3 linked regions of the Xenopus tropicalis genome follow. The protein of the gene in region 1 interacts with the protein of each later gene in a biochemical or structural test. Links are inferred from orthologs where the notes say so. Each region holds a gene or a part of one and is shown in the gene's direction. Other genes may lie near its edges. The genes, in order: mark3, ksr1 and cdc25c.

Evidence for each region.
Region 2: of the proteins of mark3 (region 1) and ksr1, one has a biochemical effect on the other in vitro, tested with the Homo sapiens proteins (2 studies listed by BioGRID). The link is inferred for Xenopus tropicalis from reciprocal best matches to the Homo sapiens genes MARK3 and KSR1.
Region 3: of the proteins of mark3 (region 1) and cdc25c, one has a biochemical effect on the other in vitro, tested with the Homo sapiens proteins (3 studies listed by BioGRID, with this or other methods). The link is inferred for Xenopus tropicalis from reciprocal best matches to the Homo sapiens genes MARK3 and CDC25C.

What each region holds. Positions count from the first base shown.
Region 1 is NC_030684.2:98,312,776-98,318,880, forward strand, and holds part of mark3 (MAP/microtubule affinity-regulating kinase 3), read left to right. Parts: intron 1-1,556; coding exon 1,557-1,605; intron 1,606-3,140; coding exon 3,141-3,206; intron 3,207-6,105. UniProt on the Homo sapiens protein: Serine/threonine-protein kinase. Involved in the specific phosphorylation of microtubule-associated proteins for MAP2 and MAP4. Phosphorylates the microtubule-associated protein MAPT/TAU. Phosphorylates CDC25C on 'Ser-216'.
Region 2 is NC_030678.2:104,942,893-104,948,997, forward strand, and holds part of ksr1 (kinase suppressor of Ras 1), read left to right. Parts: intron 1-733; coding exon 734-881; intron 882-2,561; coding exon 2,562-3,024; intron 3,025-6,105.
Region 3 is NC_030679.2:48,002,962-48,009,621, reverse strand, and holds the start of cdc25c (M-phase inducer phosphatase 3), read left to right. Parts: upstream 1-2,915; 5' UTR 2,916-2,999; coding exon 3,000-3,016; exon of another isoform or gene 3,017-3,246; coding exon of another isoform or gene 3,247-3,248; intron 3,249-4,558; coding exon 4,559-4,786; intron 4,787-5,873; coding exon 5,874-5,962; intron 5,963-6,334; coding exon 6,335-6,380; intron 6,381-6,660. Other genes in the region: oocyte-specific histone RNA stem-loop-binding protein 2, read right to left, coding at 2,101-2,114. UniProt on the Homo sapiens protein: Functions as a dosage-dependent inducer in mitotic control. Tyrosine protein phosphatase required for progression of the cell cycle. When phosphorylated, highly effective in activating G2 cells into prophase.

The sequences.
Region 1 (6,105 bases):
ATGTAGCCGATATCCACCACAGATCTCGCGTTTTTTGGGGAATATCGGCTACACGTGCCTGCACCTGAGCGTATTTCATTCATATGGGTGCAGGCACAGGTAGGGTAGACATACAGTAGCGGGGGGCGTATTCTCGGCAAACTTTTCTTGGTTTGCCAAGAATACGCCCGTGTGGCATCAGCCTAAGGCCATGTTAATAGCAAACTTTAGTGAAGTTGTATCAGGTGCCTTATGGTTTCTAATTACATCTCACCACCCCCATGTCCTGTTACAGAAAGCTTGCTGTTAATTAATGTAACATGTCTGCTTAGTCAGGAGTTCCTTGGATTAATATCCTGTTTCTTTAGCTCTGTGAAAAGGAAAAGGCATTTGATTTAATTAAGTCGCAGGCACGTTGCTTTAAGTTTTGTTAAAGGACATGTCAACTCCAAAACTAATTTTTGCCTAATAAAAGAAAACATAATTCTAAGCAACTTTCCTAAATCAATTTTATTAAAAATTATTAGTTTTTGAAAAGTTATTTGTAAATGCAATTGCTATAGAAAGCGGCATTTGCTGAACTCCTGGTTGTTACATTTTAAACAATGTTGCAAGTGCCAGGCTCCTCCATCAAGACAGGTCTGTCAGTCTGCTGCCTTGTGTTACATTGTTTCAAATGCCAGAGCCACCAGGGCAGGGCAGAGAATAGAAAGGACAGGCAGACACTGCTATTAATATCAATTATATGTACAAATAACTTAAAAACCATTACAAATATGTAATGAATGCATATTGCAAAGTTTCTTAAAATTAAGTTTGCTTTTATTGGGCAAAAAACTAGTTTTGGGGTTAACATGTCCTTTGAAATTTACCTTTTTTTCTACAAATGTAGGCATTTTCCCCCTACCCTTCTTTTCAGTAGTATAGATCAATACGAACGGGGTTATTAAGATAATATATTAATACAAAGTATAACAATAAATACAAATAAATACAAGGTACAGTTGCAATAAGTTAAGAGTCAGAGACAAAAGGATGGAGGTCCCTGCCCCATAGAACTTACAATCTAGATCAGTCAAGACCCTGTTGTCAGCTTATTGGTCAGTGCATTGGGCTAAAACTATGGCTAGACCAAATTGTCAGTGTGTGGGTGCAAACTGATAGTTGAAACAGCCCTTTGTTTTGAAGGCCCTGTGTTAAAAACAAACCATTTTTTTCTTTAATATGCTTTTTTAATAAAATTTGCATATTTGGTTTTATACATGTCTTAACTGTTTTTTTGTGTTTTGTATTTGTGTTCATATTTTTTATAAAAGGGTTTCCTGTGCACCCAACCTACAAATAAAAATTGCTAACTGGCAAGGTTTTCTTCGTCAGTTTTTATTTATTTATTTATTTATTTTCAAAGAGTCTTTCAAAACATAAAATCATAAAAGCATTTTACCCAATAGGTGTACAAGAGAAAATTAAAGAGTACAAATCAGACATTAATGATCATTCCAAACTGACAGGGTTTTCAAGCACTATTTTAAGTACATAACTTTTTTTTTTTTGTTCTAATGTAAACTATCTTTCAGCTTTTCAGGGAGGTAAGAATAATGAAGATTTTGAATCATCCAAATATAGGTAATGAATTATCTGGTAGACCTTTATTTTACTAAAATATGATGTTTATCTCTTTTGCAGTAGTAACTTAAGACATAAGTTTTTAAATATTGTAACTTTTTGTTTGAAGGATTGTTTATATAAAGTTTTCTATGAATATTTATAGAAATGATTTGCTAGTGAAACAGATACAATAGCATGGGGCTGTATTTTCAGCCCTGTGGTAAGTGGGGATTTTTTTTTTATTTTTTTATTTTAAATACCAAGCCTTTATAGCAAGGTGAGGGCTATATCAGCAGCCTCACTTATGGGTGGCCACATCACTTACAACCTCTGCTTTTCACTGATTGGATAGGCAGATTGTAAACATTTTACTGAAGATCGCTGAATGGCAGAGGGAGGGCTCTTTGGCAATTTCCAGCTGCCCAGGTTAACACTTTTAAAAGCAGAATGTGTCAGATTTGTGGTTAACATTAAATTAAAAAATGGACTGTTATGGTTGACTGTCCAATTCTGGACCTCAAAGGAACTGTTTATTTATTGTAAGGGGTCCTAAATTTGGCAGGTTAAGTCACCAAGGATGATTGGAGGGTAGTTAGTCCAGAGAAAGAGAGGGAAGTATATTTGAATTAAGAGGATAGTGAATTTGAAGTGGCTGTGCTTCTATCAGTTTGAAGTAACTGGAGGAAAAAGCTGTTTTAGAAAATTATATAGTGTAAGGCCAATGGTACTAGGCATTTTCCCTGCTGCTGTTATCAGGTGGAAAAAAGGCCAGTGATTTAAAATTTCTGTCTTGCCTTTCATAGTTTGTTTTATGTAGTGGTAAATGCCCTTCTGGAATATATACATGATAGCAGCAGAGATGAAAATATTTGAAGAAAATTACAGTTTCTGCCTTTTAACCATCTCACATAGCAGAACAAAATCTTCCAAGGTATGCAGTTTTGCAAGGTAACTTTCATTTGCCATTGTGAGCAATCATTTGGGCCATGTGAGGGCAATCAAACATTGGATAAACTCACAGGTTCCAAATGATTATATTGTTTTCACATTGGTTTTTCAATATCATATTAGTTGCATGCAAGCTTATTATATGTACTTAGCACCCTGTTACACCTATACATTTTTAAAGTGTGAGATGACCAATACTAACCCTTCCTCTTCCAACCTGGCAAGCCATTGTTTCTTATATATGCGTGCCCTCATCCATCTCTGATGTCACTAGAGGGGCAAGGGGAAGGTGCAAATATATAACTGATGTAGTGATGTTGCGAGCAGGGCAGGCCATCGCAAAACAAAGCCATTTAGAGGAATTGTGGGAATCCCTACTCATTCTGCTTTATTCTAAAGTTTTTTAGGATTGTGCCTTTTAAATGAATATAAAAAAAAAAAACATGCCTCTGTCCTCAACATGACCTTGCCATTTTTAGAATATTTAAAAAGTCATACAGTTTTCAGGGCAACAGCTGGTTCATATTGCAAATATGTGTATAACTGAAGGTATTAAAAAAAACATATCTGCAGATTTCTTTAAAGACCTATTTTTCTCCCTGCAGTTAAATTATTTGAAGTAATTGAAACAGAAAAAACACTCTATTTGGTGATGGAGTATGCAAGTGGAGGTAAGTCCTATCTGTATATTAGTGTTTTTTGGTATATTTAAAACAATGATTTTAACATCCAAAAATTTTCTTAAAAGGATATAGAGAAGTTACAGACAAAAGGGGGGGTAGGTACATGTTCTTAGTTGCCTTGGAACCAAAAGGCCTGCAGGGTTGAAAGGGCCTATTGTTTTAGTAACAATCTACTGTAACAACAAGCTATTCCATGATTGGTCCAAGGAGGTATATAATCAGATTACCAGACTTCAAATATTCATTCTACATAATGAACTTCTTACTTTCCTTACAAGGTGACCATACACGCCAAGATCGCCAAGCGAGCGGATCTTCTCTCGATATCCCCACTTACAGGCGGGCGATATCGGGCTAATTTGGTCGTTTGGCACTGGAGCCAAACAGTCGAATTAGACCGCATGAACGAGCCAATGGTTCCCCGGTCCGACCGATTTTCAAACCTGCCTGATCGAGATCTGCCCAATTTCAGGACAGATATCAGTCGGGCAGGCCCGTCATTAGTGCACATACACAGACCTATAAGCTGCCGAATCGGTCTAAGGGACCGTTATCGACAGCTAGAATCGGCCCGTTTATGGGCACCTTAATTTGAAATTCGATTTTTTTAAAACATTTCTATAGCCAGAGCAGATAAAGATGAGTGGGAACCCTTTGTCATGCCCATTTTTAGTTGAAAATTGGATGTCATTCCATAATTAACATTTACTTTAGATTTGTGTATTTGATGTGCTTTTTGGCCAAGATTATACAGTGGTGTAACCCTATTCAGTTTGCTGCATCCCATGGTATCAAAATAGTTTATCTTGTAATAGATATAATTTATATAATAGTAATCATTTATCTCTGTTGCTATGTCATGCCAATTTTTAGATTTACCAGGACATGCCAAATGTAATGTAGATGTTTGTACTTTTATCAGGCATATTTTGTTAGACCATTATAAAGGCTAAGTCACATGAATGAACCCTACAACATTTCATGAGAAAAGTAGTAGCAACGCATCACAAGGAATTGTCGGGTACCTCTCTACAATTTTCATCCAGACAGTATTTTAAGTAGGTAAAAGACAACAGAAATACAGACTAAAGGTGGCCATACACGCACCGATATTATCGTACGAAACCTCGTTTCGTACGATAATCTGTGCGTGTATGGCATGTCAGCGAGCCGACCGATATCGCAGGAAGCTGCTGATATCGGCCGACTCGCCGATCGGCCAAGTTAGAAAATTTTGATCGGGCGCCATAGAAGGCGCCTGACCAAAATTCTCCCTTCAGAGCTGAATCGGCAGAAGGAGGTAGAAATCCTATTGTTTCTACCTCCTTACCTGCCGATTCAGCCCTGAATGGTGTGTGGCGGATCTGACGATGTTTCGTGCGACCGACGGTCGTACGAAACATCGTGAGATCGCCACGTGTATGGCCAGCTTTAGAGGGGCCCTGCCTGGTAGAGTCTGCAAATAATTATTGGTCTGTTTTAAATTAAAATAGACTTGGTGATTAGCATATGGTTGCATTTGTAGCCTGGTGGTTTCTCTATACTGTTGAAGGACATGTCTGGTAGCTATAAGCCTACAGAGCAGAGTGACATTCTGCAAGAGTGGTAGTTAGTGACTTCACACTAGCTTTACTGCCCCCTAAATGTTTGTTTACAAAATGACCCAGAACAGTAAATCATAGCCGTTATCACAAGCTTGTATAACATCCACTCTATATATGGGAACATTCTGACTGCGTTGTATTGTTTACATCTCTGATAATTTTTTCTTTGCTGTAATTCCACCATACAAAGTAGCACATACTAAGGGACACATTTACTAATCTATGAACGTCTGAAAAGCGTCTGAATGCGTTTTTTTCGTAATGATCGGTATTTTGCGACTTTTTCGCAAATTGTCGCAAATTTTTCGAGCGCTCAATACGAAAAAGTCGCGACAATTCGCGAAAGTCATAATGGCTATGAAAAAGTTGCGACAATTAACGAAATTTGTAATGGCTATGAAAAAGTTGCGACAATTTGCGCAAGTCGTAACGGCGACGAAAAAAATACGAAAAAGTCGCAAAATGTTCGTTTTCCAATCCGAATTTTTCTGATTCGTGGATTAGTAAATCAGCCCCTAAGGGTTACCTGTTAAAGTGGGCAGTGAATAGTACAATAGCATTAGGACTCTGTTTTTAGTTTGCTATGTACTTTTTCTATCCTTTGTTGTAGCAGGATCTTCATGTAGCTGTGATGTGCGCTTTGTTTCTGCAGTATCTGTACTAACACGACCACCTATGTCCTTTTCCTTTCAAGCACTTTTGTACCTGTATGAAGGGGTGACTTGATAACTAAAGGTTGTGAAGCACTTTTGCCTGTGAAACTACAGATACAGTGTTAGAACACTAGGTTACATGTAGATAAAGAGAATGGGATGATTTGCAAATCATTTAAATCCTATATTGCAAATATTACAATTTTTTTTATTAAATATGTGCCCATTTTGAATTTGATGCCAGAAACCTGTTTCAAAAAAGAGGCTTGGGTCTCTTGGATGTAAAGATGGGGTGGGGTGCAATACTCTGTAAAACGCTATGCTAGTAAATATTGCAACAACTTATTTACATGCCATAATGTAATGCAATGGAATAGGCAAAAAGCCAGTATCGGACGGTCATGAACTTTGGGCCCTCAGGCGACACTACATTTAAAACAGACACAATTTTGTAATGAAAATCATTTCATGGGCTCAGGAATACTCGCAAAAAAACATTGTCTGCGAACATAGTTGCATCCACAAATGCAAGCTGAAACTCTATCATGCAAAGAAGACACAATATAAACATGATCCATAAATGCCGCTTGAGAAACATCTCTGGGCCCTGTGACTTATCTGATTACCTTT
Region 2 (6,105 bases), on another chromosome or scaffold:
GTACTTTTAATTTCTAAATTACACTGTTTACATAGCAAATAATTCACTCTACCATTTAAAATGTTATTCTTGAACCAACAAATGTATTTTTTAGTAATATTGGTGCCTGATTCTGAACTTTCAGAAAGAGCCAGCGCTACACATTAGAATTTAGCCTATTGTTTCTCCTTCTCAATGTAACTGGAGGGGTCCCAAGCTGGATTTGTTACTATTGAGTTCTATTCTGATATGTACTGGGAGCTGCTACCTTCCCATTGTTCTGAGAGAGGGAAAGCAAGTTCATTATGAGAGGCTGAAGTCTGGCTCCTTTGGTCACACAGAGCATTTTTAATCAGGCGTATAAGTGGATCCACTCTTATCAGCATCTCCCTGTAGCTGCACTGACAATCACAGCCTGCATGCAGCTACTCAGAATGGAGTGGAAGCAGTGAATTGCCCTAAAACGTGAAAGCAGGCATTTTTGGCCGCTCTACTCTATGTAGCTGCACTCTGGTGGAAGCTGTCATTGTTATTGCAGCTACAGGGAAATGATGAGTGTTGCAGATCCACTTCTTTCCACGTGACTGAAACCCACAGGCAGAGATCAGCATGTAGGAAATTGAGGATGTACAGCAAATGGATACACATGTATAACAGTTTTAAGTACTTTGTGCCTCCTTAACCTTACTTAAAGATGGCAAATATTTACCATTTTGAAAGTTGTACATGACAATTGTTTTGCATCTGTTTTTAGAAAGTATCAGAAGAATTAACACTAGATGCCTTATTGGAATTGAATGAATTAAAAGTAAAAGAAACCATGAAGAAATGTGGAGCCAACACAGAAGAATGCTCCAGACTTAATGGAGCTCTAACCTGCTTAAAGAAATTAGCACGTTCAGGTAAGAATTTCTCTCCCAACCTGTACCATTACAACAATAATAAAACAGGACATGACCCACCCAAAAGGGAATACTCCCTTCTGTAGAAAGCATTTCTGAGTACATAAGGCAACCCTGTGTAGGTCTCAATAAGCTGACAGACCAGGCCAGTATAACTGAATTTAAAGGTACAACACACACCCATTTTCATCAAGAATTCTATGAAAAGGCTTGTGCTAATCTTACTTATATAATCTTTTACATCTGACACTAAACTAGAATATGAAGCCAGTTCCACTTTAATACTTCCTGTCACATCCTGATCCTACAGCACTTCAAAGGAGCTGATAAAACTAATTACCAGTCCATGGAAAAGCCCTCTGATAATGAGCTGCTCAAAGGCTGCTGCTTAGAGAAGGGGGGTGTTAGTTTAAATGTAGATCTATCTATCATCTATCTATCTGGTTTCCCAACATGATTTCTGCTACATAACACCAAGATTTAATATCCTGGGGATGGTTTTGATATTTTCAAGGCCACAGCCTAAATTCCTGCCTGCTACCTCCTAAATATTGGCAGCCCTAGCCCAAGCGTTTATATATACCTGTAGAACGTGTTTCTTAAATGGGACATAAAAAAGGGTAAAATACAACTTTTAGCAAACTAGACTTTACAGAACAACCAGCTGAGTACATTTGCAACATTTGGAGCAATACAAATCATTTATTTCTGCCTTAAAGCAGACTTTGGATGCTGTGAATAAGCAAGAAAACTATTGTGAAGTAAAATTTTAAAAATATACACTCCCTAGTGATATCAGATTGTGGCTCATTCAGCTATCCATCAAAGACATTAGATTAGAATAGTGCTGTACAACTTTTGTGGTACCGAGGGCCAAAAAAACACTCCCCTTTTTAAACCACACCAATTTTATCACAGGAACTTTTAAGGCAATACCCCCATTAATGGTGGTAGCACACCAAAAAAATCGAATGATTGGTGCTCACCCACCACTCATATGTGAAAAAAGTTGATTGTCATATTAAAGCATACACTTATACTCTTAAATCTATAAGGCTTCTCCTCCTTCCCTGTGGGTAGCGCCTTAACCCCCACCTTTGTGTAAGCTTTAAAAGGTATCCGTTCTGAGATTAACTGGTCCCTGAATTATTCACACCTTAGATTCAAGCTGTGAACCCCTGCATTGTTCACAGTTGTGAGCCCCTGCATTTTTCACACCTGTAAGACCCTGCATTTCACAGACTGAATAGGGCAGGCAGAGTTTGACACACACAGGTAGCATAGGGCAGACAGAGTAGGGAAGGAAACAGGGAAGCTTAGGGTCTGAGGTGTGAACAATGCAGGGTTTTACAGCTTGAATCTGAGGTGTGAATAATGCAGGGGGCAAGTTAATCTCAGTACTGATGCTTTTTAAGATTATACAAATGTAAGCATTCACAGCAGCCAGATTTTAATGAGGCCACACAAGGAGGGGGGCTGCAGGCCACCAGTTGGACAAGTAGCTTGGCAAGAAGATGAGATTGACAAGATTACATCTTGTCAGCCCTAAGATTTGCAACTGACTATTGACAGTAACATAGAATTTCATAATTTACTTCTAGATTAAAGAAATGTTCTTTATTTTGCGCATACAAAATATTTTCCAAACTGATTTTCTTTTTTCCTTTTTTTTTTTTACAGGGGGGGACATGAAAGATACATTATGGAATCCACCAGAGATGAGGAAAGAAAGCTCTTCCCAAGTTCCGTCTGATATTTCCTCTCCCGTTGGAGCAGCATGGACTCTTAACTCTCAGCCTCCGAAGACCAACAGCCACCAGCCTCGCTCCATTTCCGTTTCTGCCATCCCTTTCTCAGAATCCTCAAGCCAAGGACCTTATATTTATGCAGAGAACTTGCAGGACCCTTTCTCCTCCTCAACACCTATCAGTAGGTTAACACTTAGGACTCCCCATGGATTTACAATCACCCCTCCTACCACCCCACAGTTAAAGAGGGCCATAAAATTAAAGCCCCCTCGGACACCACCCCCTCCAGGCCGCAAAGTGTTTCAGCAATTACTTCCCAACTTTTCAACGCTCAAAAGAAGCAAGTCTCATGAATCTCAGCTTGGCAACAGAATAGATGAAGTTCCTTCTCTTAAGTAAGTTTTTATTCAGGTATATATCTTTTGAATTTACAGAGGATTGCTTAATCATCAGATAAGTAGTCTGCCATCTTCCCTTTAATTCAAAGGGAATATTGAAAAGCTCCCAGTGTTGCATTGACCTAAAAATATTTGTTAAAACCAAATACAGCTTTTTGCACAATTCTTCTAGAATATGTGCTGGTATCATAATGCCTTTCTTGGCCATTTCTGTGCAGAGGTATCATCACTGATGTCTTCATCTTTCTATTGTGGAATATGTTAGCATTTTATAAATTCTTGTTTAATAATACTTTCCATTTGATGTTGGTATCATTACAGTGAGTTGTGCAGCTTAATATCTTTGACTAGACAGAACTGAAACATAAATTCAATACATTCTGGGTGGTTCTTCCTTTTTGTTTTTTGTTGTTTACCCTTGGCCTTCTTTAAAGGGAAACGAAAGGTAAAGTCACTTGGGGGTGCCAAAATGTTAGGCACCCCCAAGTGACTTTAACCGCTTACCTCGTACCCCGGGCTGGTGCCCCTGTTGGGAGAAAACAGCACCAGCCCGGGGCACCTGGAGCGCAGCGCTTCCGTGTTCTGGCTTCCTCTTCCTGAATGCCAGCAGTGGGCGCATGCGCAGTAGAGTGAAAAGCCGACTTTAATGTTTAAGTTCGGCTTTTCACTCTACTGCGCATGCGCGCGCAGCGAAACAAGAGGAAGGAAGCGCCGGCAGCTACCCCGGGCTGGTGCTGTTCCCTCCTCACAGGGGCACCAGCCCGGGGTAAAAGGTAGGTGGTCAAAGTCACTTGGGGGTGCCTAACATTTTGGCACCCCCAAGTGACTTTGACTTTCTTTTCCCTTTAAGAGAGGGATGAGTTGGGATATGGATCTGTACAATGTATTGATCATTGAAGAGATTGGATGCAAAAGACAAGGTTCATCATATTCCCTTTAGATGTTTACTGGAAAACACACTTTTACTTAGAGGCTTTTACTTTTATGGTTTTTCTATAATTGTCAGCTATATGAGAGTCCGCCAGCTCCATGCTGTCTTATGTAATAGCCGCTTCTGATTATGGCTTTTGGGCCAGAATTCCCTCTCAGGAAGTTATCTGCACTATCCAATGAATCTTTTTTTGGGAGCTGTTTCTACCACTGTTGCCCTGGCACAAGTAATATAACAACAGTGTTGCAATGGGCATAAGTAGAGCTTGAATTGAAGAATAAATATAAGCACTGCAAAATGCACAGTCACGGAGCAAAATGCACCAAACAGATGCAATGTTACATTTTCTTTCCACTTGCAAAACAGTTAAGCCATAAATGTATGCAGCATTTCAAAGATAAGGGTTAAAGGATCAGTAACATCAAAAAATTAAAGTGTTTTAAAGTAATTAAAATATAATGTGCTGTTGCTCTGCAAAAAACTGGTATTTTTGCTACAAAAAAGCTACTATATAAATAAGCTGCTGTGTAGCCATGGGGGCAGCCATTCAAGCTGAAAAAAAGGAGAAAAGGCACAGGTTACATAGCAGATAACTAGTAGATAAGCCCCATATAATGGGGGTTTATCTGTTATCTGCTAAGTAACCTGTGCCTTTTCTCCTTTGAATGGCTGCCCCCATGGCTTAACAGCAGCTAACTTAAATAAACTATAGTAGTCTTTCTGAGGCAAACACACCAGTTGTAGCAATGCAGGGCAACAGTACATTATATTGTTATTACTTTTATACACTTTCATTTTTTGGTGTTACTGTTCCTTTAAGTGCAGCACCAGTGTGAGCTTGCTTTGCACCTGCCACTGATACAGACACAAATTGGAATTTTGGGCTAGAAGTTTTACCCATTAGAACTCCTGTAGTTGCTTCTTCTCAAGTGGTAAATGAGTTTGCTCTTGTATGAATGCATTCCAAAAGGATATGGCTTATGCAGTATCAGTGGCACACAGAACAGTATGAAATTGGTAGAGGATAGGTTAGAATTACTACCATATATGAATTTATTCATTCAGGTTGCCTTTTTTATTGTCAAAGTTGTTGTATAATGAACCCAAGGTATAAAATAATTTTAACCCAACAACTGAGAAGTTATGTAAGTCTCCTGAAATAGGGATACCCAAACTGTGGCCATGCAACTTTTATTTGCATCTTTTTACCAAGTGTTGGCAGTTGGGAGTGTTGCAAATCATTTATAGTTTTAAACAGAATAGCCCTGAATCCGGGATTGTCCTGCTGCAGCCAGATAGACTGAAGATAACTCCTTTTCTTTTCTCTTTTTTTGACAATACAAAAAAAGGCAACCAATAATGTTTGGGTTTTTTTTTTTTTATTTGTTTTTAAATTTTTCCTTGGTTTTGTATTTCATTAAAAAATTTACATACACTGTGCTATTTCCATGAAACACACCAAAAGTTCCACAGTAATTAAAAGACTGCAGGAAACCAAGCTTAAGTGAATATCACCAGCCTGTTCAGCTGTCAGCGCTGGTAACTGTGGTTTAGTTTTCCGAGAGTTGACACATGGGGATTTCCAGGAGTTTCAGTGATTAGTCACAAGCTTGACTCGAAGTGCATTGTTTAACCTCGTCACACTTTCTGCAGAATTCAAAATCAATAATTACTGAGTATCATCTGTGTGTGTGTACATGAGTATACAGTATATAGATATATGTGTGTATATTTTGTATATGTGTGTGTATATATAATGCAAGATATAGCTGTACTTGCATCTCAACAAAGAAAAGCCTGGGTGCATATCATGAATAGGTAATATGCAGACATAACAATAAGGCACTCACAGGACTTCAAAAAGTTGAGAAAAATAGTGAGCAAATTTGGTTTATAAGTAAAATTTTTGCACTGTTTTTCACAAATTTGGAATCCTATAAGTGCCTTATTGTTATGTATGTATATATGTATATGTGTATCTATGTAAATATGTACCTGCACTTGTCTTCAAATAATCTGTCACGGTGCACAGTCAAAAATGCATATGTTTGGTAAGGACCAGCACTATCTTGCATTAGATTCAAACATAACAAATATATATACCAAACATATATTTATATAAAATACATATATACATACATCAACAG
Region 3 (6,660 bases), on another chromosome or scaffold:
GCATGACTCGAGTGCCTGATTGGGGTTCTTTAACCCCTTTTTGGTTCATTATCACAAGAGTAGGGCTAATGCCACATGTAGAGTATTTTTGGCAAGCTGAAAAACGCTTGCCAGGAATACACCCCTACACTTAAAAGTCTACCTACCTGTGCAAAGTGAAACTTTCTGGCTGTACACATAATCCATCTCTTAAAGCATGGAAAATAATTAAAGCACTGTATTATAGGCTTGGTCATCACATAAGCGAGACGATTAATTTGTGCAACCAATGGCTAGACTGAGCAGATTTAAAAGGGAATAGTCTATCTTTAGCAACTTTTCACTTGGTCTTGATTTTTATAGTTTTAGAATTATTCACCTTCATTTTTCTCTTCCAAGATCTCCAAGTGAGCTCTGTGAGGCTACAATTTTGTTACTTTTTATTACATCTATCCAGACCTTGTATTCTTTTTTTTTTTTTTTTTCAGTCTCTCACTCAAACCATTGGCTGGTTGCTAAAAAAGTTGGACCCTAGCAACCAGAAAGCTGCTGAAATTCCAAACTGGAGTACTGCTGAACAAAACGTTAAATCATTTAAGAACCACAAAGAACATTTCAGGTTTGTCTTAGAAAATCACTGCATCATACTAAAAGTTTATTTAAACATGAACTACCACTAAGTGAAAAGGAAAAAAAATCTTTTACCCTTCTAGACATCAGGTTAACATTTGGGATCAGCATACCAAATGGATAGTGCCACGGTGTTATATATATATATATATACACAGGAAAGGGATCAGGCAAGCAGAATGACCGATCGATGCCTATATGGATACCTTTGTACAAATTACATATGTTTACATTGTAAGCATGGTACCTACGGTGACCCACTTAAAAGTGAAAATAGTAAATAAAATTAAGGTGTATAGCTCATTTTAACCAAATTCTACATTAGAAAAAGCTGGCTTAAATGATTTGGGTCCTCTGAAAAGGCCAAAATAGTGGCCATAAACAAATTTGGCGAAGTTACCGAGTGAGCGGATCTTTTCCCTATATGCCCACCTATGAGCGGGCAATATCGGGTCAATTCAACCTCTAGGCAGGCATAGGTGCCATCAGATCGGGGAATGCAACAGTGAGCCGATGCAATGCCTAAACCAACAGAAAAAACAAACCTGCCCAATTGAGATCTGGCTAATTTCAGGCCATATGTTGGTTGGGAAGGCCTGTGCCCATACATGGAGCATACAAGTTGTTGAATCGGTCTAAAGAACAGATATCGGCAGCTGAAGTCAGCCAGTGTATGGCCACCTTACTCGCAGCAATCTGTCTCTCTTCATGTAGGAATCATTTAGATTTTGATGGTTAGGTCAAATGTGTGTTCCCTTTGTCTAAAGTTAGACAGTGTACTACAGTGGTCTTTCACAATAACTGACCCTGACACAAAGTTGCATGTAGAGAGAGGTCAATTTCTGACATGGAGACAGTGAACTTGATTTCAGTAACTGTACAGGAAGTGTCTAATTTCTATGAGATTAAACACTTCAATAAATGTTCCCCTTTAAATATGCAGCTTATTTTGGGCCAAGTCAAGAACATCTAGCAGTCTAAGGCTCAACTGAACCCTAGAAACAAGCTGGTGATTTGCTTAGACAGGTAAGAGATTGCAAAAACAGTAGTAAAACTATGTAGGCATATTTTCGCCACTGACATTAGCTTTAATGTAAAATTTTCTTCCTTTTGGTTTAGAACAAAAAAAAGTTTGCTGTGATAATCAGCTCAAATGTAGCATAATAAATGGTACACAAATCATCCATGCAGTGAATTTATATAAAGTGCGATTTTAAACAGTGACAATGCAACCTGCGCAGCAAAGATATACATATACAAAAAGTTTTAGAGAAAATGGTTACAATTCCAGGTTAAGCTTTACTGCCCCTATTCCTGAAGGCCATCAAGCTTTTTACAGGTCCTCCCTCCCTAGATAATGCACAAATGTATCCCAGAAGTATTCCAGTTTCTTAATACATGCCACATTATTAATCCTTTCTGATGCGTATTATATTCTTGCTAGAGAACCATTATAAAACGTACAGCATACAACAGGGCAGAATTACTAACCAGTCATGCAGCATGAAGATTTTATATGGAACCTGTATTAAGACAGCAACAAGATTTTAAGCACAAAATTGAAGTTATGTGTAAACACTGAGTAAGTTTGCACCTGGGCAGTAACCCATGGTCAATCAGATGATTGCTTTTAGTGTTTAACCTAAAGCTGGCTAATTACTGCTTGGCTGCTATGGGTTAATGACCAGGTGCAAATTTGCCAAGTGTTTACAAATGAGCCCCATAGATCCAAACAGAATTAGAGAGAACTCAAGATGTTTCCATGTAAAACACTGAAATAACCTGACAGCATTTTCCACATTTGAAGTGAATGTATTATTACAAAACCAGATACATTTTTTTTTTTTAATACCAAAAGCAGACTTCTAATAACTGCCAGGAGCTACCAAATACAAAACGATTACACGTCAAATCCACACTACTCTAAAGCCCTTCAACCAGCCAGGCAAAACAGAGCATTAAGCCAGTGGGTGAGCATAACCACTCCAGCATAGGAAAGCTACAGAATTTCCAAAGAACGGAGGAGAAAAAGCAACACAAGCTCATCGTAGAACACCAACTTCAAACAGCACGCTTCCCTCTATTACCGCTGCATGGCTCAGACAACAGCTGACTAAAGCTACTCAGCCATTGCTCTTTAAACACCCCGCCACAGCAAAGTGGGCGCGCCCTGCATGCATAATACAAACGAGATAGCGAATCACTGAGCGCAACAGGGACCAGGAAGAGCTCTAAAACAACTAAACCAATCTGAGACTGCGCTGCCTGTGACGCGCTCTTATCAGCCAATTATTACAGATATTTGTTTCAAACAGCTTGTCTTGTAGCCTATCCCAACGGACCTCCCTGTCCTACAGCCTTTCTAGGTGCTTTTGTGAGTTGTGACCCGGATGCTCTCTTGTGATTGGTTAGTTGTTCTAAGCGGAAGATTTTAATTTTGTGTTCGGTTTTTTGTTTTTTTTTTGCTACGTTGTATCTGTAACTGGTATCGTAGTAGGGGTTCGAATGGTAAAATAAAAGTGCACGCAGATGCTGTAGGGGTAGAAGGGTGTTCTGGACACATGATAACTTGCTTCAGACGCAGACTACTTGGCGATGGAGAGTCGGTTCGATAATTAAGGAGCGTGTAACCCCCGAATGTAAGCAGTTCTTATTAAACTTGTCATTCTAGTGACCTCTGTTCAGTAGTGATGATCTGTGCCCTGCTTTATACATGCATGTTGTAGCCTTTTCTCAAATAATATTGCCCTGATGTTATCAGGTGGAGTGAGTATTGCACTCTAGTGGATATTGTACTTAGAGGTACTTAAATAGTATATAATAAGAGTCATAAATAATCTTTAAAATGTACTCTTTGACGCATGGCCGTCCCTATATACCAAGGCTAATTTTCAGTGCTTTAATAGCTAATTGTAATTGCTATAGAAAGCAGCATTTGCTGAACTCCTGGTTGTTACTTTTTAAACAATATTGCAAACGTCAGTCTCCTTCAGCAATACAGGTCTGTCAGGCTGCTGCCTTGTATCTGCTAAATTGTTTCAACAGTCAAAGCCACCAGGGCAGAAAATAAAAAATGACTGACAAACACTACTTTTAATAGCAGTTATATATACAAATAACTCAAAAACCATTATACATTTGTAATGAATGTATATTGCAAAGTTGCTTAGAATTTCTCTTATTAGGCAAAAAATTATATTCTGGGTTGGCTTGTCTTTGAGCGTTTCCTCTTCCTTATTTCTTCTCTCTTTGGAATCCCTGGGCCAGAGCATGCGCAGTAGAGTGAAAAAGCCCACTTTCTTGTTAAGGTTTGGCTTTTCACTCTACTGCACAAGCGCACAAAGGAAGAGTGAACACTTGCTGCAGCTACGCCAGGCTGGTGCGGTTTTATCCCAACAGGGGCACCAGCCCGGGGTAAAAGGTAAGCGATTAAAGTCACTTGGGGGTGCCTAACATTTTGGCACCCCCAAGTGACTTAGCCTTTCCTTCTCCTTTAAGTCTACTAAAAAAAATCAATAAAACATTAATTAAACCCAATTGGATTATTTTCTATCTATTTAAGTCACATTGAATGCCCCAGACCAGGGTAGGCTATATTTTATCTCAACGCAGATCTTTCTTTTTTTTGGCAATACTGTTCTTTAAAATTGCTTAAAATTTTTATGAGGCATCTGAGGTGCCCAATCGGTGGTATTAAACATGTTAGTCAGAAGGAGGGCTCCAAAATGCACGTTTGTTGTGTGAGTTGAAATAAAAGATGTTTGGGTATATTAATAAAAACATGGCTGTAGAGTCAAGCTTTATGGTAATAACCTTCATTGTTCTCATAGAGTATATGAAAGTTTTTCATAACAAAATAAACAGATTTGTGAGTTTTGTATAAAACACATGTTTGCAGATCTTTCATTTTTATTTTGTGCTATAACTATGTATTTCATTTGCACCACAGGTTCCAGACAAGTAGTGGAGGCTCGGCTGAAGTCATGGCAGAGAATCACATAATGTCATCAGAAGCACCCCCAAAGTCCAACCAAGGCCTGCATTTCCGTACAAATTGCAGAATGATATTAAACCTCCTTCGTGAAAAAGATTCCTCAGTTACATTTTCTCCTGAACAGCCTTTGACACCTGTCACTGACCTTGCTGTTGGATTTAGTAACCTAAGTACCTTCACTGGGTAAATATCAGCTCGGCATTCTAAAGCCTGCATGCAGAGAAATTTGCAGAACTGGTTATTTTGTGCTCTGTATATGTTTTAGGGCAGGGGTCCTCAAACTTTTTAAACAGGGTGTCAGTTCTTGGTCCCTCAGACTGTTGGGGGGGGCTGGACTATAGTTAGTCCTCGAACTATGCCCCCGCTGCATCCTCACCCCTGGCTACTACCTGTCTGCCTCAGCATTGTCCTCGGCCCCAGCGTGTCACCGCATCACACCAGTGGGGGCTGGGTAAATGATCTTGGGGGGCCGAATCGACCCGCGGGCTGTAGTTTGAGGACCCCTGTTTTAAGGGCATCACAAACTGATGATTTCAGATGCTTGGGAGCCATTGCCAGTTTGCCTCAAATTGACCACCTTCCCCATTACCTGCTATGGTGATTACCTAAAAACAAATGTGCAAGTTGCTGAAGAGTCTCAGAAACATTAAGCTTTTGAATTATTTGAAGTGATTAGTGGTCATAATAAAGGTCTTAGCAAAGAAGTTAGAGTACATTGTAAAGTAGAATTTATCAGTTGGTGAGGTCAGCTATTTTTTTTTTTTTTTAGCATTTCTATTTTGTTTTTTGCTTCTCTAGAGGCTCAATATAAAAGTAAGGTCTTTGGAGGAACCCATACACAAGCCAATAAGCTGGAGGGCCTGAAACAGGAGCTTTTATCTGCACATGTACTGTCTGTCTTAAAATATAACTGGTAATTTTTAATGGCTGCAAGGGAGCAGGAATGCTTGGAACCTAGGAGCTTCATGACAGCGTGGACATGCTATGTAAAAAACGGCAGAGAAAAACATCACCTGTTTATTGTGTGTGCAGCATTGTGACATATGCTGTATATTCTTTCCTTTAAGAAACCGTCCATATATTCCTTTTTCCTAATTTTCTTCAGTGCACTGTTTATAACATGGTTTTGATTGTACTGGAAGATATACTAGTCTGCTCTCACTATTTTGCTCTTATTGCTAAAAAATAGTTTTTCTCTTCCCTAAAATCTTTATTTACGCATGGACAGTTATTTTCTTTTTTGTTTTTTTTGTTTCTTTGCCACGATCAGTGAAACTCCCAAACGCTGCCTGGACTTGTCCAACCTTGGTGATGAGACTGGGCCACTGCCAACAGAGTCCCCTGACAGAATGTCATTAGGTATGAATTCTTTAGTTTCTGCTGAGTAAACAAGAACAAGGTACCTATGTATATTCATTTTATTTAAGGGCTGCTGTAGCATTTAGGTAGTGGATTGTTGATAAAACAATAATATTGCATTTTCAATTTCAGAATGGGACTGACACAAAATAATTTAAAATATAACACAATAGTAGACATTTTAAAAGGTTAACCTTTTAGATGCAAATGTCTCTTTACTTGTGTGCTGACTACCACAGTTGAGAGAGATATTTCAGATAGAATTTAGTTGAAATACTTAAACAAAAAGTGCTTTCATCAAGTGTGTTAATTTCAGTCCAATAAGCTCATCATGGCAGTATGTTTCTTATGCATGTGATTATCAATTTTCAGGCAAAGTGGAGTCACCAAAGACACAATTTGTCCAGTTTGATGGCCTGTAAGTAATCAAAACTTTGGCACCAGATGTTTTTTTGCATGTGATTTGCCGTTTTGTTGCTCCAGCACAGACTAAGATAACATTAATCCTTACTGGAGGCACAAGAATCCTATTGGGTTTATTTAAAGCTTAAGGGAGAAGGAAAGGTAAAAACTAAGTAAACTTTATCAGAAAGGTCTATGTAAATACAGCCATAAGCGCTCAGAAAAGCTGTCCTCTATCAAAAGAAACACAGGATTTCTTGTCTCCTTTTTTGTAAACATTTTCTTCACGTATCTGA